4 linked regions of the Saccharomyces cerevisiae S288C genome follow. The gene in region 2 interacts genetically with the main gene of each other region. Each region holds a gene or a part of one and is shown on either strand. Other genes may lie near its edges.

What was found.
Region 1: mutations in GSC2 (region 2) and SKM1 together harm fitness more than expected from each alone (negative genetic interaction), as found in Saccharomyces cerevisiae (2 studies listed by BioGRID).
Region 3: mutations in GSC2 (region 2) and ATC1 together harm fitness more than expected from each alone (negative genetic interaction), as found in Saccharomyces cerevisiae (2 studies listed by BioGRID).
Region 4: of GSC2 (region 2) and SCW10, changing one enhances a phenotype caused by changing the other (phenotypic enhancement), as found in Saccharomyces cerevisiae (one study listed by BioGRID).

The regions. Positions count from the first base shown.
Region 1 is NC_001147.6:100,467-108,967, forward strand, and holds SKM1 (putative serine/threonine protein kinase SKM1), read left to right. Parts: upstream 1-3,859; coding exon 3,860-5,827; downstream 5,828-8,501. Other genes in the region: MSN1 (Msn1p), read left to right, coding at 1-491; non-canonical poly(A) polymerase PAP2, read left to right, coding at 1,009-2,763; PTH4 (Pth4p), read right to left, coding at 2,851-3,459; Rab GTPase-activating protein MSB4, read left to right, coding at 6,244-7,722; MDY2 (Mdy2p), read right to left, coding at 7,792-8,430. UniProt on the Saccharomyces cerevisiae protein: May be involved in cellular signaling or cytoskeletal functions. May play a role in morphogenetic control.
Region 2 is NC_001139.9:546,746-558,383, reverse strand, and holds GSC2 (1,3-beta-glucan synthase GSC2), read right to left. Parts: upstream 10,121-11,638; coding exon 4,433-10,120; downstream 1-4,432. Other genes in the region: CAX4 (dolichyldiphosphatase), read left to right, coding at 1-235; YGR035W-A (uncharacterized protein), read right to left, coding at 598-819; YGR035C (uncharacterized protein), read left to right, coding at 962-1,312; 60S ribosomal protein uL24 RPL26B, read right to left, coding at 1,712-2,076, 2,554-2,572; TIM21 (Tim21p), read left to right, coding at 3,417-4,136; NAG1 (Nag1p), read left to right, coding at 11,084-11,575; IMO32 (Imo32p), read right to left, coding at 10,915-11,638. UniProt on the Saccharomyces cerevisiae protein: Alternate catalytic subunit of the 1,3-beta-glucan synthase (GS) complex. Synthesizes 1,3-beta-glucan, a major structural component of the yeast cell wall. Required for spore wall assembly.
Region 3 is NC_001136.10:828,039-835,237, reverse strand, and holds ATC1 (Atc1p), read left to right. Parts: upstream 1-3,724; coding exon 3,725-4,609; downstream 4,610-7,199. Other genes in the region: SND1 (Snd1p), read left to right, coding at 1-2,379; UPS3 (Ups3p), read left to right, coding at 2,765-3,304; PLP1 (Plp1p), read right to left, coding at 4,961-5,653; YDR182W-A (uncharacterized protein), read right to left, coding at 5,884-6,087; putative lipid phosphatase CDC1, read right to left, coding at 6,181-7,199. UniProt on the Saccharomyces cerevisiae protein: Involved in cation homeostasis and in the regulation of the cation stress signaling cascades. Also involved in bipolar budding.
Region 4 is NC_001145.3:878,563-884,687, forward strand, and holds SCW10 (putative family 17 glucosidase), read right to left. Parts: upstream 1,671-6,125; coding exon 501-1,670; downstream 1-500. Other genes in the region: ubiquitin-specific protease UBP15, read left to right, coding at 1-117; FKS3 (putative 1,3-beta-D-glucan synthase), read left to right, coding at 2,597-6,125. UniProt on the Saccharomyces cerevisiae protein: Glucanases possibly play a role in cell expansion during growth, in cell-cell fusion during mating, and in spore release during sporulation.

The sequences.
Region 1 (8,501 bases), on a different chromosome or scaffold from region 2:
ACATAAGCAGCAACTCTTCTCAATCACGGCAGTCTCCTAATCTCCAGAAAGTTTCTCCTAACCATGAAAATGCGGTTGAATCAAATGCACAAGAGAGCGTGCCGACATTTGAGGAGGAACAGTATGAGACTAAAACAGGATTGAAACGGAAACGAATAGTCTGCACAAGACCCTTCGAATTTATCAAGTCACCACACTCTGTGATGGAGGTTTGGAAGGAGTATACAGAAGGTGTTAACGGGCAGCCTTCTATAAGGAAAATGGAAGCTCTTTATCAAACGGCATGGAGGCGAGATCCAGCAGTAAATAAAAGATATTCGAGAAGAAAGGTTCTTTGGAAAGCCATTCAAACTGGCCTTAATCGTGGGTATTCATTAAACTATGTTGTTGAAATATTAGAAAACTCAAGATATGTTAATGATAAACAGAAGGTTAAACAACCTATTGGTTGGTTATGCCACAGTTCTCATATTCCAGAGACTTTGAAGTGACATTTGCTTCTTGTGTATTCACCTTTATCCCAAATTAGCCCTTGTAACACTTATGCTTTTCTTAATAAATTAATAATTGGACTTTCCTTTAAAGTGGGTTGTATCTGTAACAATAATCTCTAATAATATCCTATAAAACTCAGAAGTCAGCCAACAACAATTGTATACGTATACATATCTATATAATATGCCTTGTACTTTACGCTCTTGAATTTAGAATAGCTGAACACCTAACTGAATTTAAGTAAAGGATCCCAAGCGTGAGATATTTAGGTTTACTCAGTTTTCTTATCTTGCCTTTTGATTATCACGTTGAGTGTCGAAGAAACCTGTATTCATCCTCGGCTTCTTGTATATGATTCTAAAATAATGTGTGAAAAAAAAAATAAAATAAAAAAAAGAGGAAAATAATATAGAATAACTATTAAGTTTCATTAAAAAAAAACCATTTGAATATACGACCAAAAACGTTACGCTTTCATAAAGTGTGAATAAGCAAGGGAACTATACTTGAAATATGGGGGCAAAGAGTGTAACAGCCTCTTCTTCAAAGAAGATTAAAAACCGGCATAATGGGAAAGTGAAAAAGAGCAAGAAAATCAAGAAAGTACGGAAACCACAGAAGTCTATATCCTTGAACGACGAAAACGAAGTAGAGATTTTACCTAGTCGTAATGAGCAAGAGACAAATAAATTACCTAAAGATCACGTCACGGCGGATGGAATTCTTGTATTAGAACATAAATCTGATGATGATGAAGGATTCGATGTCTACGATGGACATTTCGATAACCCTACTGATATTCCCTCGACTACTGAAGAAAGTAAAACGCCTTCATTAGCAGTGCACGGGGATGAGAAGGATCTTGCTAACAATGATGATTTTATCTCTCTTTCTGCTAGTTCTGAGGATGAGCAAGCCGAACAGGAAGAGGAGAGGGAGAAACAAGAATTAGAAATTAAAAAAGAAAAGCAAAAGGAAATCCTTAATACTGATTATCCATGGATTTTAAATCATGATCACTCCAAACAGAAAGAAATCTCGGACTGGCTAACCTTTGAAATCAAGGATTTTGTTGCCTATATCTCACCAAGTCGTGAAGAAATTGAAATTCGTAATCAAACCATAAGTACAATAAGAGAGGCTGTCAAACAGTTATGGCCAGATGCTGATTTGCACGTGTTTGGATCATATTCTACCGATTTGTATTTGCCTGGTTCCGATATTGATTGCGTGGTAACGAGCGAACTTGGTGGTAAGGAAAGTAGGAATAACTTGTATTCGTTAGCAAGCCATTTAAAAAAAAAAAATTTGGCAACAGAGGTTGAAGTTGTCGCCAAAGCTCGCGTTCCAATCATCAAGTTTGTTGAGCCACATTCAGGGATCCACATAGATGTTTCATTTGAGAGAACAAATGGTATTGAAGCAGCAAAGCTTATTAGAGAGTGGTTGGACGATACCCCCGGCCTGAGAGAATTAGTCCTTATCGTAAAACAATTCCTACACGCAAGAAGACTAAATAATGTGCATACCGGTGGTCTTGGTGGGTTTAGTATTATATGTCTTGTCTTTTCCTTTTTGCATATGCACCCACGTATAATAACTAACGAAATAGATCCAAAGGACAACTTGGGTGTGCTCCTGATAGAGTTTTTTGAACTTTATGGGAAAAATTTTGGTTATGATGATGTTGCACTGGGATCATCGGATGGATATCCAGTATACTTTCCAAAATCGACATGGAGTGCTATTCAGCCTATTAAAAATCCATTTTCATTGGCCATTCAAGATCCAGGTGATGAATCAAATAACATCAGTCGAGGGTCCTTTAACATTCGAGATATTAAAAAGGCATTTGCTGGTGCTTTTGATCTGTTGACGAATAGATGTTTTGAATTACATTCAGCAACTTTTAAGGATCGATTGGGGAAAAGTATATTGGGAAACGTGATCAAATATCGTGGAAAGGCAAGAGATTTCAAGGATGAAAGAGGTCTAGTACTGAATAAGGCTATTATTGAAAATGAAAACTATCACAAGAAACGTAGCAGAATAATTCATGATGAAGATTTTGCCGAAGATACAGTTACCTCCACAGCCACCGCTACCACAACAGATGATGATTATGAAATAACGAACCCACCTGCTAAGAAGGCTAAAATAGAAGAAAAACCTGAAAGTGAACCGGCCAAGAGAAATAGTGGAGAGACATATATCACTGTCTCTAGCGAAGATGATGATGAAGATGGATATAATCCTTATACCCTTTAATATGTGCCTTTTTGTTTAAATGATGCACTGAACTGTACATCACTGTGTACCTGGATAGAATGTGTGTTTAAATATGCGTATTATGTATTAATAATTGAATTTAATTTTACTTCTGTTTTTCTTTTTATCGCTGTGAACTTTTTTGTCAAGAAGTCGCTCTTTGTTGGCTTTCTCTTTTATTTTATTCCATTTCTTTGAGGTCTCAGCAGTGGTATCATTAGGAAATTGGCACGTTTGCCGAATTTCTTGAACCAACTTCTCGAAGCATTTTAATTTGTTGGTTTCCCTTGACCTAGTTTCATCAGATTGAATTACTATAGAATCGCTGCCCTTAGCGTAGTATCGAAACCTGCCGCTACTTAAGATGTTTCTCACTTCCTGAGGAATCCAAGCACAGTTTGATAAACCAGAAAGTGTCAAAGTACATTTACTATTTACCTTATTAACGTTTTGGCCTCCTGGCCCGCTGGCTCTATCGTAACGTAAAATAAATTGATTTAAGGGCAAGCCCGTTACGTTAAGTGCTCCTACCCAGTTTCTTGCCTGGACGAAGTCAGATTTCTTTCCGATCTTTTTATTACTAATCAATCTGACTGCCTCTTCAACGAACTGTTGTTTCTTGCAGTGCAACATTGGTTGAAGTACAAACAGAGGGGAGCGCCCAGTAAGTTTAAACTTTCCCATCAATGTTGTCATATGATATTTCTTGGCGTGTTTCCCTTCAATTTACTGAAAGGCAAACAGTAATGTTAAGGATTCTGTTGTTTTTTTTTACCGTATACGCTTGATTTCGTCAGCCCCTTGGAAGACACGAAATGTTGACTATCCGCTTCCAGATCTGGTAAAAGATTGATTTGCGATAATTCCTGTTGTTGTCATCACGGGTGTTATGGTTTGTTGTAAACTAAAAAAAGAATGAAGGAACAGGACGCAGATTCATCTAATCAAGTTCTGTGGGGAGGTCCCCAGTGGTAAGTGAATAAATATTCGCTTTATGAAGACCTACACCTGGTTTTCTCAATGGATCAGACGATAAGTACAATTTTTGTAGAGCTATACTCGAGGACAATCAGACAAAACGAAAGAATATCTTTCGATGAAGGGCGTAAAAAAGGAAGGATGGATATCTTATAAAGTTGATGGATTGTTTTCGTTCTTATGGCAAAAGAGATACTTGGTACTGAATGATTCGTATTTAGCATTTTACAAAAGTGATAAGTGCAATGAGGAACCAGTCTTATCTGTGCCTTTGACTAGTATAACAAATGTTAGCAGAATACAATTGAAACAAAATTGTTTTGAGATTCTTCGGGCAACAGATCAAAAAGAGAACATATCCCCCATAAACTCCTACTTTTATGAATCAAATTCCAAAAGATCGATATTCATTTCCACAAGAACCGAACGGGATTTGCATGGCTGGCTTGATGCCATTTTTGCCAAATGTCCTCTCCTTAGTGGTGTTTCATCACCAACAAATTTTACACACAAAGTACACGTTGGGTTCGACCCAAAAGTGGGAAACTTTGTTGGAGTACCTGATAGTTGGGCTAAACTACTACAAACCTCAGAAATTACGTACGACGATTGGAACAGAAACTCAAAAGCTGTTATTAAAGCACTGCAATTTTATGAAGATTACAATGGACTGGACACAATGCAATTCAATGATCACCTCAACACAAGCTTAGACTTGAAACCTTTAAAAAGTCCGACAAGGTATATTATAAACAAGAGGACTAATTCCATCAAGAGATCAGTAAGTAGGACGCTCCGAAAAGGCAAAACAGATTCCATTTTACCCGTCTATCAATCAGAACTTAAACCATTCCCAAGGCCTAGTGATGATGATTATAAGTTTACCAACATAGAGGACAATAAAGTACGCGAAGAAGGCAGGGTGCATGTTAGTAAAGAAAGCACGGCAGATTCCCAGACAAAGCAGTTAGGAAAGAAGGAACAGAAAGTCATTCAAAGCCATCTGCGAAGGCATGATAATAATTCAACATTTAGACCTCATCGACTAGCACCATCTGCACCTGCTACAAAAAATCATGATAGTAAAACTAAATGGCATAAGGAGGATCTCCTTGAACTTAAGAATAATGATGATTCGAATGAAATAATAATGAAGATGAAAACTGTTGCAATTGATGTAAACCCAAGACCGTATTTCCAACTGGTAGAAAAGGCTGGTCAAGGAGCAAGTGGTGCAGTATACCTGTCAAAGCGAATAAAATTACCTCAAGAAAATGACCCGAGATTCTTGAAATCACATTGCCACCGAGTCGTAGGCGAAAGAGTGGCCATTAAGCAGATACGTTTATCTGAACAACCAAAGAAACAATTGATTATGAATGAACTCCTAGTGATGAATGATTCGCGCCAAGAAAATATCGTTAATTTCCTTGAAGCCTATATTATTGATGACGAAGAGTTATGGGTGATAATGGAGTACATGGAAGGTGGCTGCTTAACAGATATATTGGATGCTGTAGCAAGGAGCAATACCGGTGAGCACTCATCGCCGTTAAACGAAAACCAAATGGCATATATAGTAAAAGAGACGTGCCAAGGTTTGAAGTTTTTGCATAACAAGAAAATTATCCATCGAGATATCAAATCTGATAATATCCTTCTGAATTCCCAAGGGTTAGTGAAAATTACAGACTTCGGTTTTTGTGTGGAATTAACAGAAAAAAGAAGCAAGCGTGCCACAATGGTAGGTACTCCATATTGGATGGCACCTGAAATAGTGAATCAAAAGGGATATGATGAAAAAGTCGACGTTTGGTCTCTAGGGATAATGCTTATTGAGATGATAGAAGGTGAACCGCCTTACCTAAATGAGGATCCTTTGAAGGCGCTGTATCTGATAGCTAACAACGGTTCACCAAAATTGCGTCATCCAGAGTCAGTGTCCAAGCAAACCAAACAATTCTTAGATGCCTGTTTGCAAGTGAATGTCGAATCAAGAGCATCCGTGAGAAAACTACTAACGTTTGAATTTTTGTCAATGGCATGCAGCCCTGAGCAGCTCAAAGTATCCTTAAAGTGGCATTGAAATTTAGCTTTTTTTTATTTAGGAGAAACAATATATATATATATGTATATACGTATGTATGATTCATATTTTAATCGCATTTTTATTTCATCTAAAACAATTACTCTTTTTGATTATTTATAGAAAAAAAACAACAATGATACGTTTGCTTCGCGTTATGTCAATAGAAAATGTAAAAGGAAAAAGAATGTGTTGCTATTCGTTAGGCGGATTTACGGATGGAAGACATATCTATGAACTGAGCTTACAAACGCTTTTAGCGGGGACAGTTAATCATTTTACGGATGATTTTATAAGAATAAACTATTTTTGAAAAGTTAGGATAGTATTTTGTACATTTGGCACCGAAGTAATTCAAAATCGAGGAAGACTCGCACACTTTTACAATCACAGAAGGCAAAACCCGGCATGACAGGATGATAATGTCATCAACTATGTCGACAGAAGCCGCCTTGGTACCGAACGAAAGTGTTTTTGACACAGTTTCGTCATTCAACGAAGACGATGCCAATTATAGCGTTCTTGATTTATACGATGACGACGATGAAGGGGATGATAGTTCTACAGTAGAACGAAAAGAAATATTGACAACACGTGAGCTTGAAAAAGCAAAGGCGTTTACCAGCTTAATCATGGCAGATCCTGAGAATTTTGATAGATATGGATTTAGCAAGAAAGGATATTTCATTAGTCAGGAAGAATACGACAAATGGTGGACAGAATATAATAGATACACCGAAAGAAGAAAAAAAAAGTGGGAGAACTTTCTTCTTAAGAATAAGATTGAGCTCCACAATGATAATCCTCTAGTATATCCTGCAAGGACAGATGAATTGTCAAAATTTGTTAGAAAAGGTATACCAGCAGAATGGAGAGGGAATGCCTGGTGGTATTTTGCTGGTGGACAACGACAATTAGACGCAAATGTTGGCGTTTATGATAGACTGAAAAGTGACTGTCGCGAGGGTGCCGTATCTGGTAAAGATATGGAAGCTATAGAACGGGATCTTTATCGAACGTTTCCCGATAATATACATTTCCATAAGGAGTCCTTCCAAAATGGAGAGCCGGCGATCATCCGATCATTGCGTCGAGTATTAATGGCCTTTTCTGTTTATGACAAGACTATTGGATACTGCCAATCGATGAATTTTCTCGTTGGATTGCTATTATTGTTCATGGAAGAAGAGAAAGCATTTTGGATGCTGGTTATTATTACCGGTAAGTATTTACCTGGCGTGTATGAATCAGACTTAGAGGGTGCGAACGTGGATCAAGGGGTGTTGGTGTTATGTATCAAGGAATATTTACCCGAGATATGGTCACACATTGAGTCATCGTATATGAATGGCAATGGCAGCACTGACCAGATATCAGGGCCAGCATCGGGGGAAGAATATCTCTGCAGGCTGCCTACGCTGACGCTGTGTACGGCAAGTTGGTTTATGAGCTGTTTTGTGGGCGTGGTGCCCATCGAAACGACCCTGAGAATATGGGACTGTTTATTCTATGAAGAGTCTCATTTTTTATTTAAAGTGGCTTTGGGGATACTGAAATTGAGCGAAAGCGAGTTTTTGGAGAGTAAAAGCCAGAAACTGTTTAGACAGTACTCTTCGTACACCTTCGGTGGTAGTAATGACTCTGATTCAACTTTCAAAAGATTAAAGAACAAGATTAAGACGCAGGAAGAGGCAGATATGGAGATTTTGCAAGTGATTCAAAATTTCCCAAAAAGATTGCTCAATCCGAATGATATCTTTGAGAAAGTCCTGATGAAGAAGAAGGTTGCGTTGAATGGTATTACCCAGGAAAAGATTGATCGCGGTAGAGAGTATGTGGCGATGGCGAGAAATAGACAAAGGGCGAGTAGCCGCCCAAAGGAAAGAAGAAAATAGTAAGCGCAACCGTGATAAAAAGCGCAACTGTGTAAAATAACAAGTATGTACGTACTAACTATACTAATCTTATTTGGCCAGAGACCAGCCTTTTTGTAGACGCTCCATGACTTGCCTAACCGCAGCCTGATCGTTCTCGAAATTGTTCTTCAGAAGAGCCTCGATATCATCCCAGGGCACAGTGAGTTCCTGTGGAGGAGCAGGAGCAGGGGAGTTAGTGGATTTCTCGGCTTCGGGTTCCTTAGATATAGTCGGATTCGGCTTAATCATGACTGTGATTGTGGAATTGGCAGGCGTGACCTTCAAATCCGATAAGAACAGGTTATCGTGGAGGACTTTGCCCTTCAAAAGCAGTTTTATCTCGCTTATGTGGGAGGCCTTTTCCTCGCTGATCAAGTGCTGTTTTATTTGTAAGATAGTATCTGATGGGCTGAAATCATGCTCGATGGAGAACTTGGGAGCTTGAATTTTCTTTAAGGTTAAGTGGACGGCGGCGTTGTCTTGACCTTGCTGATCTTGGTGCAGTTTTAACTTCTTGGCACGATTCTGCTTATATTTATACTTCAAAGTAGGCAACGGGACACCCAAATTGGTAACATCCTTCAGAGGTTTAGTATAGCTTTTTGGTAGCTTCGGTTCAGTTAAAGTGGCTAAGGTCAAGAATTTACTAACGAACTCGTGTTCTGGACCGCTGGCGGATGTGCTCATGATTAATTTTGTATAAAGTTATTATTCTTCGCTAGTTTATCTCTGTATCGGTCTGTTCTAACCCTTTTCTC
Region 2 (11,638 bases):
TCAAGTAATCGTGGGATTCAGCGTGGGGGCACTGACTGGATCACTTTATTTTTTTATAGTTGGCATCATAAGAGAGCTTGGTTTAATCAATTGGTTTTTAAAACTACGTATTGTCAGATTATTTTACATGACAGATTCTTACAATCTGGCGCCTTTGACATTGAAAGAGAATTACGAGGCGTATTGGAAAAGAATAAATCAGCGATCTTTCAATGATAAATCCAAAAGGGATTAGGTTGAACATTTCATTTTTCTTATTTTTTCATCTATTTTAGCGAGGCGATCTTGAGCGTTTGTGTAACTGGATAAAACTTGGCAAGCTGGAGTAGTCCTTATTTCTCATAAAGAAAGCCGAAAGCCTGCTCTCCTACAGTTATTAATTAAGAACGCTCGTTTTAAACAGTTACTGTGTAAAGCGACGGTAATCGAAAAAGTATGTGACATCGTGCAAAAGAAGATAATCAAAACCATGCAGAACGTAGAATAAATGTGAGTTCTATCACTTGCGGAGATAATACCCTCTGACGCCGCGGGGCCGATTGTTCCACGGAGGGAAAGAATCGGCCCTCGGGTTTTACGAGAGCGCCGCGGGTGAACTCACTTTTTTCTCGAGAAGAAGTTTCCTACGGCAGAATAAGACCCTTTTCCACGGATAATCAGCGGAGCTTCTGGACATAATAGATGGTTTGTGAAAAAGCTTAAGGAAAGCCGCGGATTTAGCATGTCACCCACACTTAGATTACGAAAGCAAGGATTGCAGAAAAAAAGATGAGATACAGTTTTGAGGGCAATATATAAAATATATAAATATAGCAACATTCCCTTCTCTCTGTTATGTCCACAATACTTCTAAAAGTTGTAACATATATCTATACATAAAAACTTGTAACAAACATATAATTAAAACAACTAGTGACAAGACGGAAGTTATAAGTTATCTTCTCTACAGAAACAATACGTAATGTTACTCACACCAGCCAAGACTACAAGAACGGAAGACTCAGCAAACTCAACAGATGACAGCAGTAAAAGCAGTAATTCATTCATGCGTGCCATAGTTTCTTCCCTTATGGTTAAGCCCATAACATCTCTGACTAATACAGTCACATGCAGACAAAGTTCCCATCACAATAGCTCTCCAAGTAAAATCACAAGATATGATTTAATCAAAGCTGCTGCTGAAAATGACTTGAAAAGGAGTAAGTCTCAGGGACGAGAAAAATCCAGAAGAAACTCTAATCGTAGAAATAATGAAGAAATTTTTGTGGCCAATACTGCTTCAGAAATCCAACGGACTAAAAGTAGCATATAGCAACCCTGAGGTCAATGTGCTTAACTACTTCTTTGCATCTTCATTGTCTCTAAAAAGATTCATATCCTCATATCCATTCGCATCTTACTCATCTTCATAATCACCCTATGTACATATATATATTGTCATAAATATACTAATAATTAACAATCACATTTTAATATTGGAAGTTTTCTCATTTTCTTGCATTGAATTCATGCATCTGCCGCTCAGCTAGAAACAAGCGCATTCGTCTACCAACCAGCCCTTGAGACCCGAAGGCAGAATGTGAGAAATTACAATTTTATTTTTAAAGAAACTAAACTAAACTAAATTGAAATTGATAAAAAATATACATAAAAGAAACACAGGATTTATTTATTGTATTTTTTGTATGATCTATGTTAAAGTCGAGCTAGTTTATTCCAATTTACCACCCTTTCTTTGGATCAAAGCCTTTCTGTCCTTGTCCAAGTGTAACTTAGTGATAACAAGCTTGGATGGGTGCAAGTTAATTGGAACGGAAGCACCGTTGACCTTTTCCTTGGTGACCTTGTCAACTTGAACAGCAAACTTCAATCTGTAAACAGATGAAATCTTACCTTCTTGACCCTTCTTGGAACCACGAACAACCAAGACTTCATCGTCTCTTCTGATTGGCAAAGCCTTGATACCATATTGAGCTCTCAATTCCTTGGATAATGGAGCAGATAACAAAACACGACGTTCAGAGGATGGAGCAGTGAAATAAGCCTTTCTGGCCTTTCTTCTGTCAGAGGAAACGTCTATTGAAAACAAATAATAAAAAAATTTGTTAGTAAAAGCAAAACTTTTTTTTCACAATGAGCACATAATTTTCATCCACACTTAAATCTATGTTGCCCCACATCCAACGGAGTATGCATTTCACAAATCAATATAAACGGTAACTTCCTACTTTTCTTCTATCTCCTCTGCGTACTCACGTTTTTCAATATTGGATTCTAAAGCCGGAATTTATGTCAGCAATACACAAGCTTAAAAATCGTTGAGTGCTAAATAGTCGCCCTATGCCTGGATTGAATATGCAAAAGCTGTTTCTTTTTTTTTTTTTTTTTTTTTTTTTTTTTTTGGCTTAGGTACATTCCTCCTCATCATACACATTGTTTTACAATAATTTAACATTATTCGATTAATTGTTCTCTTGCATTTTATGTTAACATTTTTTCGTGGACGGAAATTCACTCATGTTTTCTATCGTTATTCGTATCCTCCAAACATACCTAGAGATTGCTTAGCCATATTTGATATATCTTTGGTCTTGCCGTTGTTATTCCTTAAAAAAGAAGCACTGAGAACGGGCTAATACTTTAAAACAGTAGCCAGATAGCTATTGCTACTATTAATTTCCAAACACTATGTGTGTAAACGTATGAGATTTCCCATCCACGGCGGCCACCGTCTACTGACAACCCATCCTAAGCACTGACAATCTGAAAATTTCCAGATCTCTGTGAGTCCCTCAAGCCGAGGACAGCAGAAAAAAAATCAAAGAGATATGATAAAGCTCCTATTAAACCCAAACACCTTTAATGCACGGGTGTAAAAGGGATGTACTGGGCATCTTTCGCTAAGTTACAAAATGGGCATTTCTTATTTTATTGTCTACAAGAATTTTTTTTATAAAAATAACAACTAGGGAAACAAACAAGAAAAATTTATAATATTCATTGAATTTCTGTGACTTTATTTTAATTTTTTTTTTTCCTATTGGTCAACAAGAAAAAAAACCGGATAATACCAGGTCAGCTTCGAACCTGGACATGAAAAATGACGGAATACTGCTCTACCAACCACTGATCTAGATGAGTAGGTTAAATTTTTGGCCGCGAAAAAAAAAAGGTGTACATTATATGCGTCATGTCTTTTGATTTTCCTGGTTTTTTCTTCACTTTTCTTGGGAAGTTTCGGAAGCTCCAATAAATAAAGGATACAGAAAGCAGTGAAAAGATGTTCAGCTCTACTAGGTCAAACCTGAGGGCGTATTTTTCCGCCAGTGACAGCAGGTTATAGTTCTAAATTTAATTTTAGATATCAGGTTGGTAAAATCATTCGTATATTATTTTCCTGACTCCAAGTTTAAACAATGAGCTCAAGTTTGCCTAGGTCTTTACTCCGTTTAGGACATAGAAAGCCTTTGTTTCCACGATATAATACTTTCGTGAACTCATCGGTAATAACTCATACGTCACTGCTTAGAACAAGATTATATAGTAATGGCACCGGCGCAACATCAGGAAAGAAGGATGACAAGACTAGGAATAAACCTAAGCCATTATGGCCTCAAGTAAAATCCGCTTCTACGTTCACCTTTTCTGGCATACTTGTGATAGGAGCTGTTGGTATATCTGCTATTGTTATTTACCTAATTCTTTCAGAACTATTTTCGCCTTCAGGTGATACACAGCTTTTCAACAGAGCAGTTTCTATGGTAGAGAAAAACAAAGATATAAGAAGTTTGTTACAGTGCGACGATGGCATTACGGGAAAAGAAAGATTGAAAGCGTACGGTGAGCTTATAACGAATGACAAATGGACAAGAAACAGGCCTATAGTATCTACCAAAAAATTAGATAAAGAAGGTAGGACACATCACTATATGAGATTCCACGTTGAATCCAAAAAGAAAATAGCGTTGGTTCACTTAGAGGCTAAAGAATCCAAACAGAATTATCAACCTGACTTTATCAACATGTACGTTGATGTTCCCGGAGAGAAGCGTTACTATTTGATCAAGCCAAAATTGCATCCGGTTTCTAATTCGAAGGGCTTTCTGGGAATTAGATGGGGCCCCAGAAAAGATTAAGATCAAATTTGACGGAGTTGCTCAGGTTTTAAATATTCGTAAATGACTGTTATTTCCACGTGTCTTTCTATGTGTATCACCTGTTATACGTGTTGGACCTTACATCTAAAAAAGAAGGAGAACGCCCACCCACATCCAAATATGTTGCAGATCCTACTATATAGCGAGAGGACCGAGCTTCTAAGAAAGTTACAATGAAATAAATATAAACTAGGAAGAATAGAAAGTAAAAATATACTTATGTATTTGCGTGATAAACTTGCTTAGAAACAAAAATAGATTGTAAACTAAAAAAATCATTTGATCGTAGACCAGGTCTTTAAGGATGGCGTATGAGTGTAATAATGACTCTTATAAGTAGACATCTGGGACCCTGTATCATTGTTAGATACGTTCCTTGGTTGAACCAAGTTATGGAAAGTACCCGTCAACCCAGATCCAAGGTCTTTTGGAACATGTGCTGAAGCAACGGCAGGGCCAACGATGCATCCCGCGAATATGATCAGTACCAAAAAGTACAAGCTGCAATACCTCCTAACCATACGTTTACGTAGGCGTGCTTGTTTCAAAGAGTAAATAGGAGGACGGATTTGACGGGATGGTTTTAACCAAAATAACATGATGGAGTGAAACTTATCTATCTTTGGAATACAAATGACTGGTAGTTGGAAGATCAAAATTACATGCCCCAAAACAAAATCCGCTGCAAACTCGGAAAGCTCAATGACTTTTGCAGTCAATTCCCTTGTCGGTTGAGTCCATGCCATATATCCTAAACCGGTGCTGTACCATTTGCCTGTCCAAAAGGCAGTATTAGCGTGATCATTCTTGAACTCACGGGTCAGCAACAGTACAGTCATACAGTGAAAAATCAACCTTTGACATTGTATACATGTAACAACGCCAATCAACATCCTAACAAAACTAAAACCCTCTAAAACCCACATGACAATGAAAAAGACAATATGGACAACAACAGCGATACCGTGAGCGATCCCTGCCATAACAGAACCAGTTTTCTTGCAGCACATGCCCAACAAAGGGCCAGAGCAGCATGACAAACCCATACAGAAGAATAAAACACCAATATCGATAACAATAGGCGCCAAGGTGCAAATGATGATACGTAAGGTGGAATTTACTCTATCTTCATCAGTAGTCTTGACACCAGTTTGTGCATTAATAAACGTGAAGGCAATAAAACAACCTGCTGCGTAAATCGCACACGGTATAATTTCAGCCATAATTAAATTGGTTCTATGAGCCCTGCTTGCATCGCCTGCAGATTTTTCAGACTCATCACCCACCAGTTTGCGCTTGAAACCAGTAACACGAGACCTCGACATTCTTACATAACCAATCCATGAGTTCCTGTGGTACTTATTATTACCTCTTGACAGCCATCTGATATAATCTCTGTAGTCTAGGAAAAAATCTTCCCAAGCAAATTGATGTGGATTGAAAATGAATGGTGCAAAGATTAAGGCTGATAATGATGCCCAAAACCATAATAGTGGAGCTTGCCAATGTGCCACGGTACCAAATAATAACATCAACATTGATCTTGATCCCATATAAATGGCTGAACCCGCAAATCTTGAATAAAGAATAGAGAAAGGTATACGAGATGTAGCAAAGCCACGACCTGTTGAAATATAACGAGCACCACCCACAGCGATATCACTTAACAGTGCTGAAGAATAGATTTGGCCAGCAAAGACTTCAAACATTGGAGATAGAGATAAAATGTGACGGAAAAATCTTTGTGTCGCCTTCCACAGACCACGCTCGATTAATTCCTGAACGACAATAGGGACAAAAGCAATCCAAAAGACGATGAAAATAGAGAGTGTATAACGTCTCACCCAATCAATCGCAGGATGAAAGTTGTAACAACCAATTGGATACAAAACATCAGTAATTGGCTTATCCCTATCGTAAACACACAGAATGGATTCATGAGCCAAAGCATGCAAGTTCACTAAAGTTAACATGAACATCTGCAGAGACAATTGAATAAATAAGTTATTCAAGTGAAACCCTGGATGCGCATAATAAAATGTTAAAAAACGGTCAATAGGTAATTGCGTACCCAAATAATAGTATTCACGAGATAACATTTGTTCACCCATACCAGCACCGATCTTAGTAGTGAAATTCAAAATTGTACCAAAACCTAAATCTCTACCTTTACCACACTGATAATATTCGCAATGCTTGATACGACCACCCCGAAGTACGGCATTCATACCGGCATAAATATCTTCATTTAAATGTAGACCCTTTTGTGCTTTGGAAACACCACCCCTAGTAGTCATGAATGTCGCATTAATAAAATCTGGATGACCATAATGCAATTTACCACCAATCTGTGCCAAAGTACGGGCAAATAATGTACCAAAAGTTTGTTCTTTACCAGCCGCTACATCACCAAGAACACCAGAGTTTTCTGAGAAAATATATTCTCTAGCGCCGACAATTGCAACAGGATGATTTGTGGATTGGTCCTCATATTTTAAACCAGGAGTATAAGGATGAATTTGCTCAATTCCCAATTCTTCAAATTCTGCTAAGACAGACCTGATTTTCAAACACTCTTCCAAGTAATTGTCTTGATTAGCATCAATCAATTGAATATACTCACCTCTGTAAAAAATCAAAGCATGATTTTGATTATCTGATTTACCATCACCAAGAATTGGATTACCGGATAGTTGAACTCTAAATTTGGGACGTCTACGACCATTCTCTAAAATCTCACAATGACCATCAATTAAGGCCGAGTAAATTCTTGGCTCTTCGCCTTCGTTTAAGGGAGGTTCTTCATCCAGGTAGGCAATTTGCAAGTCCGGATAAGCTCTCAACAGGAACTCAGCATTTTCTAGTTCATGTGGTTTAAACTTGGCCAATCTTTGCATCGAAACCAAGAATTTGAATTTTCGCCTTGCCATTTTTTCCAGTTCTCTTTCTAATCCATCAGCATTACCACCGAACATTTGAACGATTTCTGGATTTTCCACACGATAAAGTAATTTTATGGCCCTCGAATAATTCATAAACCCCGAGATTGTGCGATACAAAGTTTGCGACCTTAAAGAGGCCCAGATTCTCGTACGTAAGGTGTATTCTGGTGCAGCAGATTTGAAACCAATACAATAGAAAGGTAAATCATCAATTTGAGATTTCAGAGCGTCTTCCTTTTCAGGTTCATCTTCATTGTTTTCATATGCGGCCGTTTCTTCAGCAAGAATTTTCGTATCCTTAACAAAACAGTCCCATTCTACCGGGTGTAATTGCTTCAGGTATTCCAAAAGAGTAACTCTTGAAAATTGATCATCTTCACGAATAATTTCTCTCAATGATAATAGAATCCTCTCGGCGTAATGGGGAGTTAATACAGTAAATGTTGGCATGTTGTCAACTGGTAGTGGTTCTGGAATTGGAGTGGATAGAGATTGGGCAAAAAATGAAATACGGCGCTCAGCTTCTGAATCTCTAGGGAAAAATTCAGTCTCAAAATTATTGTCATCTTGGGAAACAAAGAAAGTTGGTGCTCTCAAAGTCCTCTTACCTTCAATTTCGGACGGAACCTGATGATATAACAATTTTTGTACATGGTCTATGGCTAATAAATGTTCTCTGTACATGGAGATAATGATAGCATTCCAAATCTGAGAAATTAGTACTTTCGGTTTATATTTTATTTCCATATCAGTAGTAGCCAAGATCTTAGAATAAATTCTTTTTGGCAATCTAGTGAAAATATTTCTCCATGGAGTTAAGATAGAAATACCCAAATAGAACGATTTTCCGACCGAGAAAACAGTGTTAACAACGATATACCACAAGTAGGTATCCAAAAAGAACAAAATGAAGTCAGTCGCAATCATTAAACCTAAAACAATCTTTGGCTGGACCTTACAAATCTTATTACCCCACCAGTATTCACCAGTACATCTCATTGATGTAGTAGATAAAATCCTAATTGGATCTCTTAGTGACAGTATTAGAAAAAAATATGACTCTGCATATTTAGCAGCAAAAACGGTTACCCAAACCAAATAAGACATCCACCTGTCTAAACCATGCAATGGAGCAAAAGATGCGGTGAAGGTCTGTGAGGCAACATAACTTCTTGTGGACTTTTTCATATACGATGTAAATAATCCACCCAATGGCATTACGGAAAAGAAAACAAGTGTTGCCACAGCAACAAAAAACATAACTGCTCCAACGACATGAGCGGCAGTAGAATATACTGTGTCCTTATCATAAGCGAAAACAAATATCACAGGCCCCAAATTAATACCCATAATGACACACAAGAACCAGAATCTACGGGACAAATGTTGAGCACCCGCCCATTTTCTAGGAACGAATGACCACTCGCACAAAGTAGCGGCAACTTGAATCAAACTTGCCACAGTACCACCTAATGCTGCAGTGGCCCATTTATAAGCTGCCAAAGGCTGATTGTCGACCAATTGTTGATAGTTGTGAGTATAAAAAGTTGGAGCATTGTAAGCACAATACATCCAATATACTGAGATGTGCATGATCCAAATACGATTGAAGTTGGTAACTAAATGTAACCAGGAACGTGTTTCTTTGTAAGTTTTAAAGAAGACATCATCCCAGGGAATTTCTCCCAATTTCAAATAACGCTCCTCTGCTGGCAAATCAATCAACCTGGTTCCATCTTCCATGACAATTTTTGCTATACCTTCTGGATACCAGAATAATTGATTGACATCATCATACCCAATAACTTTGTTATGATCTTTTTCACTCTTCACGTATCGACCATCCACGATTTCGTAAACCTGGCTCCTAATAAAACGATAAAGAGGAGTAATAACTCTATTCAAAAAATCACCTTCAGGCAAGGGATCAGGACGTTGTTGACATTGTGCAGAATCTAAGTAATCAGAGGCGCATTTATAAATGAAACAAAGACACTCCGGGGTAAATCTGACTTGATTTGCCTCGCCCCAACATAATAAAAACAAGGCAATTTGACGAACCATTTCAAATGGAGAAAGTTGATTCATCTTTGACTTCCATCTAAAATCCGCAGCTTCTAATGAGTTATCACCCTCAATTTGATTTAAAGTCTCCTCAGTGTCTTCAGGACTAGCCTCTTGCATGGCTTTTTTATTTTTCTTCTTAGCCTTTCTTGCCTTTCTTGATAGCTTACCCAACTTCATATTCCTGAAACCAATTTCATCATCCATATCAAGTTGAGCGGCAAAGTACCATTTTTTGTAGTTGGCCGTATCTCCACCTATGTAGTCTGCATGTAATGATAAAAGGGCCTGTTCTGGAGACATCCTAGAAGATCTAGAGTCCAAAAGGGTCATAAAATGGTCAAACATATTTCTCATGGAATCTCTCTGAAAACCGAATTTATTTGTTAAATCTATGAAGATATCTTCGATTTGTTCGATGGGCAGGGGAGACTGGGGATCTGCGGTCCATGCGGGATATGGATCATTTGGTAAAGCCATTTCAATAGCATTAGGGTCGTAGTACTGGCCATTACCATTAACGACACCATTTCCATAGGGGGTTGAGGCCCCTGAAGAACCATCTTGATCAGGATAACTCATTTGAGAAGGAGTATATTGATCGTTAGGATAAGTGCCGGATGGGGGACCATAGCTGCTAAAATCTGAGAAGTTCTCTCCATCTTGAGAAGACGGGTTCATCATATTGGGGGGTTGGTTATAGTAACTAGCATCGTTATTATAAGGACCTTGGTCTTGTGAAGGATCTTGTCCCTGAGGAAATTGTGTACCGTCAACGTATTGTTCGTTTGGATCATAATAACCATCATCCAGTTGGTTTTGTGTATAGATTGGCTGACCGTACTCATCGTACGCACTTTGATCCTGTGTCACTTGGTACGTAGGGTAATTACCGTCACCAGTCCCATCACCGTTACTGTAATACTGTCCATTCAAGTTTGGATCGTTGTAGGACATAACTATGACAGTTTAATAATTATTTATTGTCCACTTTTTATTTTTTTCCTTTTCTTCTCTTTACAGGAGTGTATCCAAACAGCGCTTCGATTAATCCTTTTGTAACTTCTTTAATATGCCTGCAGAAAATATATGCGGCGTTCTTTGTAACCTTTGATCTTCAGTAGTATCTAGCAAGCACCAAAAAAAAAAAGGAAAAGCAAAAGAGAGATGTAAAAATAAACGAAGGATGCGTGCTGGGTAGACTTTTAGTAGAACTCTAAGTGTGAAGTATATATACAAATAACAAAAATAATATATGAATAAATGCAGTACTTTATGAAACTCTATTCTTAGCACACCAGTTGAAATACACAACGTAAGCTTTTATTTTTGTATCTTGAATTTCGTGTCACACACTCTTTGCGTTCCTGCTCTCTTGTTCTCTGGTGAACTCGAAATAAGCAGTAGAGAAAATAAAGGAGAAACAGGGAAGAAATGGAGAGAACGAACGAGGCTTTATCTCATTTTATTCTACTCTTTGCTATATATACATACGTACACCTCATTTGCATCATACCGCCCAAATTTCTTTAGCCACAATTCCATGTTCGAACCGCGAACGTGAAACTGACGATCTTATCGTATGCATCAGCATCATCTCTTTTGGCGATTTGCCGTTACTAGGCCTTTAAACTGGTGTGGCACTGCCTACACCCCATCACCACTCACACAATAGTCCGTATGTCATGTGCTACGGCAAGCGCACAGCCACCGACTGGTGCTACTGGCACCTTGCTCCGGGGCGCTTGCCTTTAATCCTCGTGCCGCTCCACAAAATCGACGATGCTTTCGGCACATTCCCCAGGCTTCTCCGCATTTACCCAGTGACCCGCATCGATGTCACGTGTTTCAAAGCGTGGAAAGAACGCGCCGATGATCGGAAGATACTCGTCTACCACATAATGCGATTGAGTAGCCCTGATGAATAGCGCAGGCCGCGTCCATCGTTCACGAGCAGGATCTAGGGGCCACGCGGCAATTTCACCTTTGACAATGGCATCTTTCAGTGTTGCGAGGGGAATTCGTTCTTCGAATGTATATGACGACACAGACGATGAATTGTCCATCTTGACCTTTTTCAGCGCCGTTAGGAGAAACCGCCTTACTAGCTCATTGCCGCCGATCCTCTCTGCAAGGTGTTCATCAGCCTGTTTCAGCGTGCGGATAGTTTTGCCCTTGTCGTTGACGATTTCCATCAGCGCTTTGATGTATTCGACAAACTCAGCGTTAGGGCGCAAACTCACCGGAGCGTTCTCTATACAGACTAACATCGAACAAAGTTGCGGGTTTTTCAGGACCAGCATCATGGCAACTTTACCACCCATTGAGTGTCCTATTATAATAGGGCCTCCATTGGTGTTTAATTCGTGCTTTGTGATAAAGTGTTTCACGTCTTCCGACATGACTTCGTAGTTATGGACTGAACTGTGTGGTGAGGATCCATGATTTCTTAGGTCCAGCAGATACACGTCTCTT
Region 3 (7,199 bases), on a different chromosome or scaffold from region 2:
AGACTGAATAAACGGTTTAAGCTGCATCGGCTTAGAAATTCGATCGCGCAAAGTTTTTCCAACACATCTACTGCGGAAGATAACGATAAGTTTTGGGAGGAGTTGAAAAGTCTGATCAGCTCTCGCAGCACACCGGAAAACAAGTTTGATCTGAATGTACTGGTGTCGTCTTCGGGGTCTTTACGTTACGTGGAGACCATAAGATTTTTGGTTGAAAAATTGTTTAATTCTTTCAAAGACTTGTATGTTCAAAAGAAACTAAACCTATGTTTCCAGATCAACGTTTCTCCCACCTCTCTCAAGTGGTTTTCTACTTTCCTGAACGCAGAACTGCTTAATTTAAAAATCATTAATTGGCAGAATATTGGTTCTTTCACTAAGACAATCCAGAACTCCAAGTCACTCCCGTTCAAAGAGTACTACACCAAGTTGAACGAGAAATTCACCGGCTCAAACCAGAGCAATGGTAGCATGCAAGACCAGACTGTCTTGGATTCCATAGTTATTGTCACGAATAGCACGGGGGTAAAAGCACTGCTGACTTTGTTGTCAGACCACCCTCTCACCAGCCTTATCTCCCAGGAATCAATAAAAGCGCTACATGAATATTCAGATGCTGTTAACGAAGATAAGGGCGACGACCAGAGCAACACAAGTTTGAAAAGAAACTCTTCGTCGTTGTTGAATTTTCAAAACTCGGTTTTAACCTCCAATAAAGACAAGTCCGTCAGAATTAGGTCGTTGTCTATCAACAGAAAATCCAACAGGGCACATATGTTCAAAACGAACGAATCCATCACAACTATCCCATCAACGTCAATCAACAATCTTATTGGTCAGGAATCCAACCTACGCAAGCAGCCTTCGGGAACTGCACTGCATTTACAATCGCATCTGCATCCACATTCCCGTTCACAATCCTATTCTAGTTCTAATATGTCCAGATCGCCTTCTCCCTTCCCCTACGGAAAGACACCATCAAACGACGAACTAGTATATGACGAGTTAAACAACCAAATCAACGAAGTGCAAGACCGTGCTAAGAATGAGGAAATTGTCCTGTACAACAATAATAATTATGACGATTATACAAAAGAACGAGGGGAACAAGAGCAGGATAGAACCTCATACGCAGATGAATATGGCTTTAATTACGATGATGAAGAAGGTGGAAATGAAGACAACTATGATGATGATGAAGACGATGATGACGATGATGACGATGACGATGAGAGTGACGATGAAGGTTTGAGCTTTTACGCTCCAAGCATTTTGTCCCGCTCTGGTTCGAGCACAGACGTGTTATCCTCCGGAATAGATTCTATGGCAAAAAATTCGAAGGAAACAAGGGGTAGGTTTAGGTCCTTGAGTTTAATGGACCCTGCTCTGCAAAAGCCGTTCAACCAGAAATTTCCAAACAGCCAACAACCCGATTCTGCAGGGGCTTCATCACCTAAAAGATCGACCTCTTCAAACCATTTTACTAACGTCTACGTGCACGATGGTGATTTTGACGGGACAGACACTATCAACAACAAAAAGAATCTATCGTCTGCAACGCTTATTAAAAGGAAATCTTTGATGAACAGAAACTTGGCTCCTTCTATTAGTAATGGATTGATACCTCCGGAATTTATTTCCCGAATATCTACGCCCTCTACAAGCGCAAGTAGTTCAAACTCCTCGTTGAATGACATGTCTACAGTATCAAACGCATTTTCCAAATTATTAAATGACACAAGTAAGAAGCAAAAATTCTTGAATTCACCAATTCCACAACATACACAACAGGCATCTCCATTACTAATGAGAAATAATTCAAACAGTAACTTGCTATTTGAGAAGAATTTGATCAACAAGTCATTTGAAGAACTGAGAAGACAACCATCAGTTAACCTTTTTAGCACCTTGATGAATGGTAACATGGAAAAGAATGGTTTGGCACTAAACTTCAAGTCCAGAACGCCTACAGATGCGTTGATGGCGAATAGCATTAAAAATAGTAACAATTCCAGTCATAGGTTACTAAATCTCGAGGAAGAAGACCAAATCATGTCTGGATCTCTCCCCAAAGAACGCGAGGACGATAACGATTCGACTAATAGCACAATAGTACCGAATCACCCAGACAATGATAACTATAATGATAATGATAACGACAATAATACTGGTATAAATTCCAATAATTTCAATCTAAATCTCTATGATGACAATGATAGTGCAGGCTTTACAGATGTAACAACTGAAGGAGTGAAATACTCAAACTCGAATTCTACAGTCACCAAACCCGTTTATAAAAAAGCCGTCACCCTGGATTTATACGGCGAAGATGATATGGATAACATGGGAGGATGGGTATTAGGAGGTAATGCCCGGTAAAATAATCACCTGAAAAAAACTAGGTTAAGCACAAGGCAAGGGAAAAAGCCAAATTACACATATACTTGATTATAAATAGATTAGTAAAACATATATTCTAAATTAAAACAGCACTTTAACCGATATTGTATTTTTTTTTTTGGGTTTACGTGATACTGCGTAAATCTTCAATTTTCAGGGCTTTGTCCGCAAGGGGCCCGTTTATTTATCAAAAAAAGTAATGAGATTTTCGAAGAAAGTTCATAAACCTATAGATCTTGTTACATTTGGCAAGAAAACAATAAGTGGGATCTGCGGTCCAAGCAACGCATTTTCTTTTCTCTAATCGACAAGTTCAAGTAAATATTTCTATTAGTCATATATCTCTCGAGCTTATATATTAATAATGAAATCATTTCAAAAATCTTATGAATTCGATTACCCATGGGAGAAAGTCACCACGGCGAACTGGATGAAATATCCAAACAAGATCTCCACACACGTTATTGCAGTCGATGTGCTCCGCCGAGAGCTCAAAGAACATGGCGATGTACTTCTTACAGAACGGCTGATAACCATACGTCAGAACACCCCTCACTGGATGTCCATTTTAGTGGGGAACACTAATTTAGCATACGTGCGAGAGGTCTCCACCGTTGATCGAAGGGACAGATCTTTAACTATGAGGAGTTGCAATATGACCTTCCCGCATATTTTGAAGTGTTACGAAACCGTACGTTATGTTCCTCATCCGAAAAATCCATCGAATGTGACTCTTTTCAAGCAGGATGCAAAGTTTCTGTCTGGTGTTCCGACCAAAACCTTTAGTGAGAAAGTAGAAAACTGGGGCGTTAAACGTTTTAGTGATAACGCGGTGAAGGGGAAAGTCGGGTTTGATAGTATTCTAGCAATGTTCAACGATATCTGGAAAAATGCTAACGAATAAAAAAAAATACATCTTTTCTCAAGCATTTTTTCTCAAGCATTTTTTCTCAAAAAAATAAGGATTTATAGCCTCTTTGCATATAACTACACTCAGAAACTCAAAAATAAGTGAATAGATTAATTTGCCAAAATAGTTTCTATAGCGTGTCTTTCTCTTTTTGCAAACTCGTGTCATCTTGATATAAATCAAATATTTTCTGTCATTTTTTTTTCTCTTTTTTTTCAGTTTCTAGAATTTTTTTTTTCCACTTTAGCGATGAGATGAAAAATTTCCAAAAAACATGCGGTACGGTATTTTCAATGAAAAATTTCAGAGGGCTAGTGCCCTATTGAAGAGCTCAATACTTGATTGAAGTTTTGACATCTTAAATTTTGTTGGTTCAAGTTACACTAAGGTTGTGATAGGGAAAACGTGAAGATAATGAACACGAATCAGTCCAATCCGAATACAGATTTAACAGATGATGCCAATATAGAACATACGTTGCATCGGCTGCTCACTCAGGCAAATAATCATTTTGATGATACAGTAAAGATTGATGGGCAGAGTTTAGATTTGGGAAAGGATCTCGAACAAGTTATGATGGATAATTTAGACTGCACTGATATTTTTGATTCCGACATCGCTTCTCAGAAACACCTAACATTGGAATCTTTATTTAACGATGAACACAACACCGATTCGAGCACACTTTTGGAAATGCAGAGAAGTGCTAATGATAGCCTAGTTGGTATTGATCTCGATAGGCATAAAAAGGGTTATACTGGCAAGGCATCATTAGATAAAAGTACAAACCAAAATAACGTACATAAACCTGATAAAGAACAAAAGAACTATAAGATAGATAAACCCACCATCAAGAAGAAAAAATCCCTTTTGAAAACCACAAATGAACCCATGTTATCCCCTGCATCCCTATCACCTTCATCTTCGTTAGCTTCATCCGACGCTAATGAATCCCACCTAAAAATAGAATCCATGATTACTGATATAACATCTAAAATAGATTCTGCAAGACAAGACATTGTATCTGCAACGAAGCCTGCTAAGTTCACAAATGAGTTTACAATAAGTCAAATTTCGGAAATGAAGGCAAGAATAATTAATACTCATAAATTGCTGCTCAATTTCAATTTTATTAAAGAAGGTTACGCGAGATCTTGTATTCAATTGAAAAAATCTATGGACTCTTTAAAGGATAGTGAAATTCACAGAGCACATTTATTGGTTGAGAATGATGACTTGAAGCAACAAATCCTAGAACTTACTCAAAAACTCAATGAAAAATCATCCAAGGAAAGTTAAATTTAGAGTTAGTTCTGCTAAGTTTATCTGCATTTATTGGTTTTTTTGTCTTTACTACAAAGATGGTCCAATTTTATATACAATATACACTACCTTTCTCAGTCATCGTTATTCGTACTCAACTTTTATTATTTTAAGGAACACAGTCGCATTTTTGAGTTTCATGTATAAACATTACTATACGCATATTTCGTATTTAACTTTCTATAAATCCCCCAAAACGTTTTATTAAATTTTCAACGGTACGCTCGAATAACCGATTTAGTTTGAACAGGAGGAACCATTTTCGCTCATGCGTATGGCTTAAAAGACCATCGAGTCATTTTTAGTAGGGAGGTAATGGTTATTTAGTTATATATCTAAATCACTATCACTTTCACTTCTATCATGATTTGTAGAAGCGAAGCGTTCCGTATTCACAGATGAATGCTTTCTTATTTCGAATGTGTCTTCTATAACACCTGAATGGGCTAAAGATTGCTCTAGCCTCCTAATATCAAACCCATTAGGGTCATTTCCCAGTTTACTAAATCCTACGTAGCGAACTTTTTCTAGGCCATTCTTGTATCCAACTACAAACGGAAGTACTTTAATATTCAGTTTATTAACCAAAAATGGACATGTTTGGACGTTTACTTTAATAAATCTCGTGGTTAGATACCTCTTTGCCAAGTTTTCCAGTTTTTCATTCATATACTGGCACTTACCGAATGTTTCTAATTCAAAATGTATGACCACCATAGTAGTCTTTGTACATATTTGGATAGCATCTGCCTCGTTATCAATGCACTGCAATCTACCGTATCCGTCATCCTCAACATTCTTCTTGACCTGTTTTAAATGATCTGATATTTGTTGTAGCCTCTCCGACCGATAAGCACTCAAAAATTCATGATCCTCGTCTAATTCTCTATCCAATTCATTAAGTAGTTCATCTAAATTTTCCTCGCCACTACTTTTGTCATCGCTATCGACAGTTGTGTGTTTATCCTTTTCAGCATTTGAAAGCACATTTGTGTAGTATCTGTCTAATTTATCTTCCATATTAATTTAATCTTCATATACGTATGAGTTGTTAAGAGAATGGAGTATTTTCGTTAATCTTTTGTACTTCATCCTACTTTCGTGTTTTTTAAACTCTAAAAATTACACTACTATGATCACTATATTGCTATGGAATAATAAAAAGCAAAAACGAAAGATTGAAAGGAAAGTCGTCCTTTTGTATCCATCTTTTAAACAAAGCTTACAAAGAAATTTGCCGTCATGACTTGCTAAATTTGATATAAAACTAAAGGAACCAACAACTTACCTAGGTGTTCTTTTTTGTCCCCGTATAGTGAAGTAATTGGTGTTACGCCCAGTCCTGCAGTTTTAGCTTGGACCACAAAACATAATGCAAATCCAGTAGAGGTTATGCAAACTGTTTGGTGAGCATAGTAATACCACACCCGGTATAATTTATATCTCTTGTTCATTGTCTGTATATAAGGTGTATTCGCATATATTAAATAGCCAGACGTTTCCCTTCAAAGCATTTTGATCCTGGAAGAGAATAGCAGTAATTCTGTCTAGACTACAGTATAAAAATAAATAAAAATGGGCATCACAGAAACAAAAAGGACAATTGCATTAACTAGAAATTGTTTGATCGAACGCGTATCATTCACAGCGTATTTACTATGTGTCAATGATTTTTTGGATTTCGATTTGGAAATACTTGTAGGTAATGGCAAATCTGAGGTGTTACCATCAGGTCGTGTAAATACTCTGTTCATTATGGTTGCTACGCGATTATTAAAAGATTTTGGGAAAAAATGCATGTATGCGATAAAGGCAGCAGAGAATAATAATCCCCATAGGTACATTCTGATTGCCTTATAGGGATCTGGCATATAGCATAGCTCTGTTTGGTAAGTTTTTGATGCATACTCTCCGCCGGCATTTACCATTGTCAAATCTGAAGGATTATATAAGGAGAGCAATTGAATAGCAGGCCTACTGATCCCCATGTTCATTGCACATGACTTTACTGTAATTTCTTGAGCATTTTTAGTTTTCCCCTGAAACGGATATGAGTGTGATATCTGACAATGGTCATGATCATCCCCGGAAAATAATATTTCTGGTTGAATTTTCGTTAAAATTTCTTGTGATATATCGTTTTCTATAACTGTCTGGTACTGGTGCCCTTTCTGAATAGGAAAAGGTTCTTTGGATTCACGTAGCTGACCGCACGTTTGCTGTTCTGGATCCCTCCATAATGGAACGTGAGTTAAAAGAATTCTAGGAAGCGGATGTGAACCCATTGCAAAATTATCCAAAAACTGTCTAGGAACCCTCGAGACATTCGGATTTGTTTTATCAGAAAGCGAAATTGTATCTAAAAGTACAAAGGTATGATTTCCAGCGTCTAATGAGGAGGAAGTTTCTCCAAAGTAACTAGAAAATCTCTGTAAACTCGATTCAACAACTGTGTCTCCAAAACCAATATCGTGATTACCTGGTAAAGACATGACCGTTCTTCTCAGTGGCTTCTTGGGGAATATTTGGTTGAATCGTGTGTACTCTTTAATCCATTGCTTATCAT
Region 4 (6,125 bases), on a different chromosome or scaffold from region 2:
TTGGACAAAGTTATATTGTATGACATTATGTCCAACTTAGATTATATCTACATGGATCATCCGGATAGATTGAGATCGCATTCTTCCTATGATAGACCAATGATCATTAAAAACTGATACGTCTTACGACTATGTTTAGCTTTGATGTTTTCTCCATTTTTTTTATGTTTTTTTATGATAATCTCTCAGCCGCCATCACTTCCACACAGGCAATGCTCTACAGTTTTATTTTGCTTTTAGGTAATGCCGCATATATATATATATATAAGTTAGAACACAAACTATAGAGCAGCGAGGACCCGTAGCTAAAAGGAAGACAAATTGAAAAATCTTTCACAAATGAGTATAGAATATATACTTTACACAAAACACATAAGTAAACAATAACGTGATAAGAATAGGAGAGCAAATATGGGAAAGGGCTTATTTCCCCCATATTTGGCTGCTTTTTAAGAAAAAGGGAAAAAGAATGATCATAAAGTAAATGAAGTTTCAGTGGTTTAATCACTTGATAGAATACCCCAGTATTTTTCAACACCGTATTGCCCATCATCTTTCCATAGATCATTGAAGGCGGTAAATAAGTAAGCTGAAGAGCCGCAGGAGCTTTTGATAGAAGAAATGGCGGCTTCTTGGTTTGCTTTAGATGGGACAGCTTCGCCGTAAGTATCACCCTTAGATGGCCAACCAGTTTCGGTAATAACGACGTCCTTTTTCCCACCACAAGCAGTGTAAACCCTTTCGATTTGTTCTAGTACCCATGGTCCTGCATCTTGGGCCGCAGTATTTTCATCGAAGTATGCATGGGCGTTGACAGCCATATAGTCAGAATAATTACACAGGTCAGGGTTATTTATAACAGCAATGAAGGTATCAACGGAAACGACTGAGCCTGTATAACCAGCAGAGGTTAAAGCTGACTTGGCCGTGGAAACGTATTCACCGACTTGCGTCGTAGTGGCAGAACCGCCATTGACCAGTTCGTTACCGACAGAAACAGTGGTAATATCATCCCAGGAGCCATAAGACTCAACTGCAGATTTAATAGTATCAACGGCGTCTTGAATTTTGTCAACGTAATATATGCCTAAGAATAATTTCTGGCTTGAAGTTTTAGCTTGCAAGACATTCTCAACCTGACTACAGTCAACGCCATATAATCTGATGTTGTCAAAACCAGTCAACTGTTCTAAATCTGAGGCGACTTGAGCAGTAGATTTACAGGACCCATCATCATTGTAAGGACTGTAAGTAATACCCTTAGCACCGGAGGCTGAGATACTAGATGAAGCGGAGGATGAAGCTGAAGATGAAGTTGAGGATGAGGATGAGGGTGAGGATGAAGTCGAAGAACCAACCGTAGATGCTGCCTCGGAAGATTGAAGAGTGCTGGTTTGTTGTTGAGAAGTGACGACATTAGCGGAAGTTGTTGGTTCTAAAGTGGATGTAGTTGCTTGAGAAGCAACTGCAGTACTGCTGGTAGTAGCTACAACAGCATTCTCGTTCACTGGAACAATAGTTTCGCCGCTGTTACCGGAAACGACAACAGTAACCTGCGCATGGACTGTGGCAGTAACAACGTCACGCTTTTCATGTTTATGGCGAACAGCAGGAGCTCCTAGAGCTCCGGTTAATAATGCAGATACAGTTAGGAAATTTGAAAAACGCATAATGGAATGAAGACTTTTTTTGCGTTAATACTATCTTTTGACAATTTGAAAAAAAGAACAGTAATAGTAAAGGAGAGACGTGACAGTTGGATGTTCAGCTCAATATTGCAAAAGTATAGTATTTAACTCTTTTATTTGGGCCTATATAATAGATGAATTTAAAATGGGAAAAATATGATGCACGCTTCAAAGATACACTGTAAGACAAACTTCACGCAGACATCTTTCCCTCCATTATAAATACTACAGTTTTGAAACAAACGTGGAAAAGAAGGCTTATGGATACGGCTCTCGATGGAGAAGTTACTGTACACATGAAAACACGAATAACTTTCAAACGCGTGCGACGTTTGTTACCATATTCAAACGTTTCAACGCGAATTTTTTGTCCGCTGTTTCGCGCAATTAAAAGTCTTGGCATTTTTCTCTTCAGGTTTTACTTCGTCCGAAATCTTCGAGGACTTTTCCGAAAAAGGTAAATTACTGCAAACGGTCTTTCGCGAAATCTAGACCGAAGATCTCTGGGGATATGTAAGGAACAAATATTTTTGTCATTGAGGGCTTAGATAAAAAGAAAATCTAGATGTCTTGCCTGAGAAAAAGAAAGAGGGAGGCATTCTTTCTTAATTATTACCGTGCCTGGTATCAGCATAAGTGAAGGCCGAGACAGCTTTCGTATATGGCTGTTGCACGTCTCTGAACTAATCATTCTCGCCCATCAAGATCGGACCATCTTGCCTAGTGCGGCAATGATGGTTAAATTATGCGGGTAAGAGTTTTACATGGTCAGCGGCTATTTGGCGAGAACCTTCAAAAGTAATTATGCCTTCTAGGATTTGCCACTATACAACTTAATCATTAAGGGCTGTGGAACTGCATATTGGGAAAAGAAAAACATACTGAGAAGGAAAGTTAAGGAGTTGAATATGGATTTTATGAGTCCCAAGTTTTCGCTAACTGACGTTGAGTATCCTGCTTGGTGCCAAGACGATGAAGTCCCAATAACAATGCAGGAAATTAGAGAAATTTTTGTGGAGCTCATGGATAAGTTTGGCTTCCAGAAATCTTCTATGGAAAATATGTATCAACATTTAATGGGACAGCTGGACTCCAGGGCAAGTCGTACAGGTGCTCAAAATGCTTTAGTATCGCTACATGTTTCATATATTGGAGGCGAACACGCAAATTATAGAAAATGGTATTTTGCCGCTCAGCTCGATTTAGATGAAGAGATCGGGTTTCAAAACATGCGACTACATGGAAAGGCACGCCAAAGAAACGTAAAAATGGCGAAGAAAAGAGGCGTATCGATAAAGGAACAAATTAAGCAATGGAATGAGAAGGAGCAAGAGTTCATCAATAACCATCCAAAGATCACACTGACTCAAGAACAATTGGAAGATCAGACAAACTTGAAAAGTGCAGACTACAAATGGAAATTGAAAATGAAAAAATTGACGCCCGAAAATATGATAAGACAGCTGGCCCTTTATTTGCTTTGCTGGGGTGAAGCCAATCAAGTCAGATTCGCCCCAGAATGCCTTTGCTTTATTTTCAAATGTGCACTTGATTATGATATTAGTACGTCAAGTAGCGAAAAAACGGTGAAATCACCTGAGTATTCATACTTAAATGACGTTATTACTCCCTTATACGAATTCCTAAGGGGCCAAGTATACAAAAAAGACGCAAAGGGGAACTGGAAACGAAGAGAAAAAGACCACAAGAATATTATTGGTTACGACGACATCAATCAATTATTTTGGTACCCGGAAGGATTTGAACGTATTATTTTAAACAATGGAGAACGATTAGTTGACAAGCCATTGGAGGAGAGATATCTTTACTTTAAAGACGTTGCATGGTCTAAAGTATTTTATAAGACATATAGAGAAACCAGAAGTTGGAAGCATTGTTTTACCAATTTCAATAGATTCTGGATTATCCATTTTGCACCGTTTTGGTTCTTCACCACATTTAATTCCCCCACTTTGTACACCAAGAATTATATACAGTTATTGAATAACCAGCCTACACCCCAAGTTAGACTATCAGTGATTGCCTTTGGAGGCACAATTGCATGTTTAGTTCAAATTTTAGCCACCGTGTTCGAGTGGGGATTTGTACCTCGAGAATGGCCAGGCGCTCAGCATTTATCGAGTAGAATGATTGGCTTACTTTTTTGTCTTGCAATCAATTTGGGACCTTCCGTGTATGTTCTGGGGTTTTTCGAATGGGATGTTCATTCAAAATCTGCGTATATCGTGTCCATCGTCCAACTAATCATTGCATTTTTAACCACTTTTTTTTTTGCTGTCAGACCTTTGGGCGGCTTATTTCGTCCATATTTGAATAAAGACAAAAAACATCGGAGGTACATCTCATCGCAAACCTTTACCGCTTCATTTCCTAAGCTGACAGGACGCAGCAAATGGTTTTCTTATGGGTTATGGGTATTTGTGTATTTGGCGAAATATATTGAGTCCTATTTTTTTTTGACCTTGTCCCTCAGGGACCCCATCAGGGTCCTCTCTATTATGGATTTGTCCAGATGTCAAGGTGAATATTTGTTGGGTCCTATTCTATGTAAATGGCAAGCCAAAATTACATTAGTTCTCATGCTGCTTTCTGACTTGGGCCTGTTTTTTCTCGACACTTACCTTTGGTACATTATTTGCAACTGTATTTTTTCCATTGTACTGTCATTTTCTCTTGGTACTTCAATTCTCACGCCATGGAAGAATGTATACTCTCGATTGCCAAAAAGGATATATTCCAAAATCCTTGCTACTTCAGAGATGGATGTAAAATTTAAAGCAAAAATACTGATATCGCAGGTTTGGAATGCCATTGTTATATCAATGTATAGGGAACATCTTCTCTCCATTGAACATTTACAAAGACTCTTGTTTCAGCAAGTTGACTCCTTAATGGGAGACACAAGAACCCTGAAATCGCCTACATTTTTCGTTGCACAAGATGATTCAACGTTCAAGTCAATGGAATTTTTTCCATCAAATTCAGAGGCAAAAAGAAGGATATCCTTTTTTGCCCAATCCCTGGCGACCCCCATTTCAGAACCTGTTCCAGTGGATTGTATGCCAACTTTTACCGTTTTGGTACCCCATTATTCAGAAAAGATTCTGTTGGGCTTGAAGGAAATTATCAGGGAAGAATCTCCTAAAAGTAAAATCACGGTGCTTGAGTATTTGAAGCATCTACACCCTACAGAATGGGAATGTTTTGTTAAGGATACCAAACTACTAAGCATGGAAAAGAGCTTTTTGAAAGAGGCAGAGAGCAGTCATGATGAAGATAGATTGGAAATTCCGGATGCTCTGTACGATCCAAGGTCTAGCCCGCTTTCTGACCATACTGAGTCCCGGAAGTTGCCCACAGAAGACGATCTTATTAAGGAGAAAATTAATGATTTGCCATTTTCTTACTTTGGCTTCAACTCATCAGAACCATCGTACACCCTGAGAACAAGAATCTGGGCATCATTGCGGACGCAGACTTTGTACCGAACCCTTTCAGGGTTTATGAACTATTCCAAAGCTATTAAGCTACTGTATCGAATTGAAAACCCCTCTTTAGTTAGCTTGTATCGTGGCAATAATGAAGCATTGGAGAATGACTTAGAAAATATGGCTAGCAGGAAATTTAGGATGGTTGTTGCTATGCAGAGATATGCAAAATTTAATAAGGATGAAGTGGAGGCAACAGAACTACTTTTAAGAGCCTATCCAAATATGTTTATATCTTACCTTTTGGAAGAATTAGAGCAAAATGAATCTGAGAAAACGTACTATTCGTGCCTGACTAATGGCTATGCTGAGTTTGACGAAGAAAGTGGATTAAGGAAGCCAATATTCAAAATTCGCCTGTCGGGCAATCCAATACTTGGCGATGGAAAATCGGATAATCAGAACCATTCTATTATATTTTATCGTGGTGAGTATATTCAGGTGATTGATGCAAACCAAGATAATTATTTGGAGGAATGCCTAAAGATACGGTCTGTTTTAAGTGAGTTCGAAGAGCTTGAGCTTAATCCCACAATCCCATACATTCCTGGCATTGAATATGAAGAAGAACCACCGCCCATCGCTATTGTTGGTTCAAGAGAGTATATTTTTTCAGAAAATATTGGAGTGTTAGGTGATATTGCTGCAGGTAAAGAACAGACTTTTGGAACCTTATTTGCTAGAACGTTGGCTGAAATTGGTGGTAAATTGCACTATGGGCATCCCGATTTTCTCAATGGCATTTTTATGACCACTCGTGGTGGCCTGTCTAAGGCACAAAGAGGATTGCATTTAAACGAGGATATATATGCTGGAATGAACGCAATCTGCCGTGGTGGAAAGATAAAACATAGTGATTACTACCAATGTGGTAAGGGTAGAGATTTGGGATTTGGGTCCATCCTGAATTTCACTACTAAAATAGGTG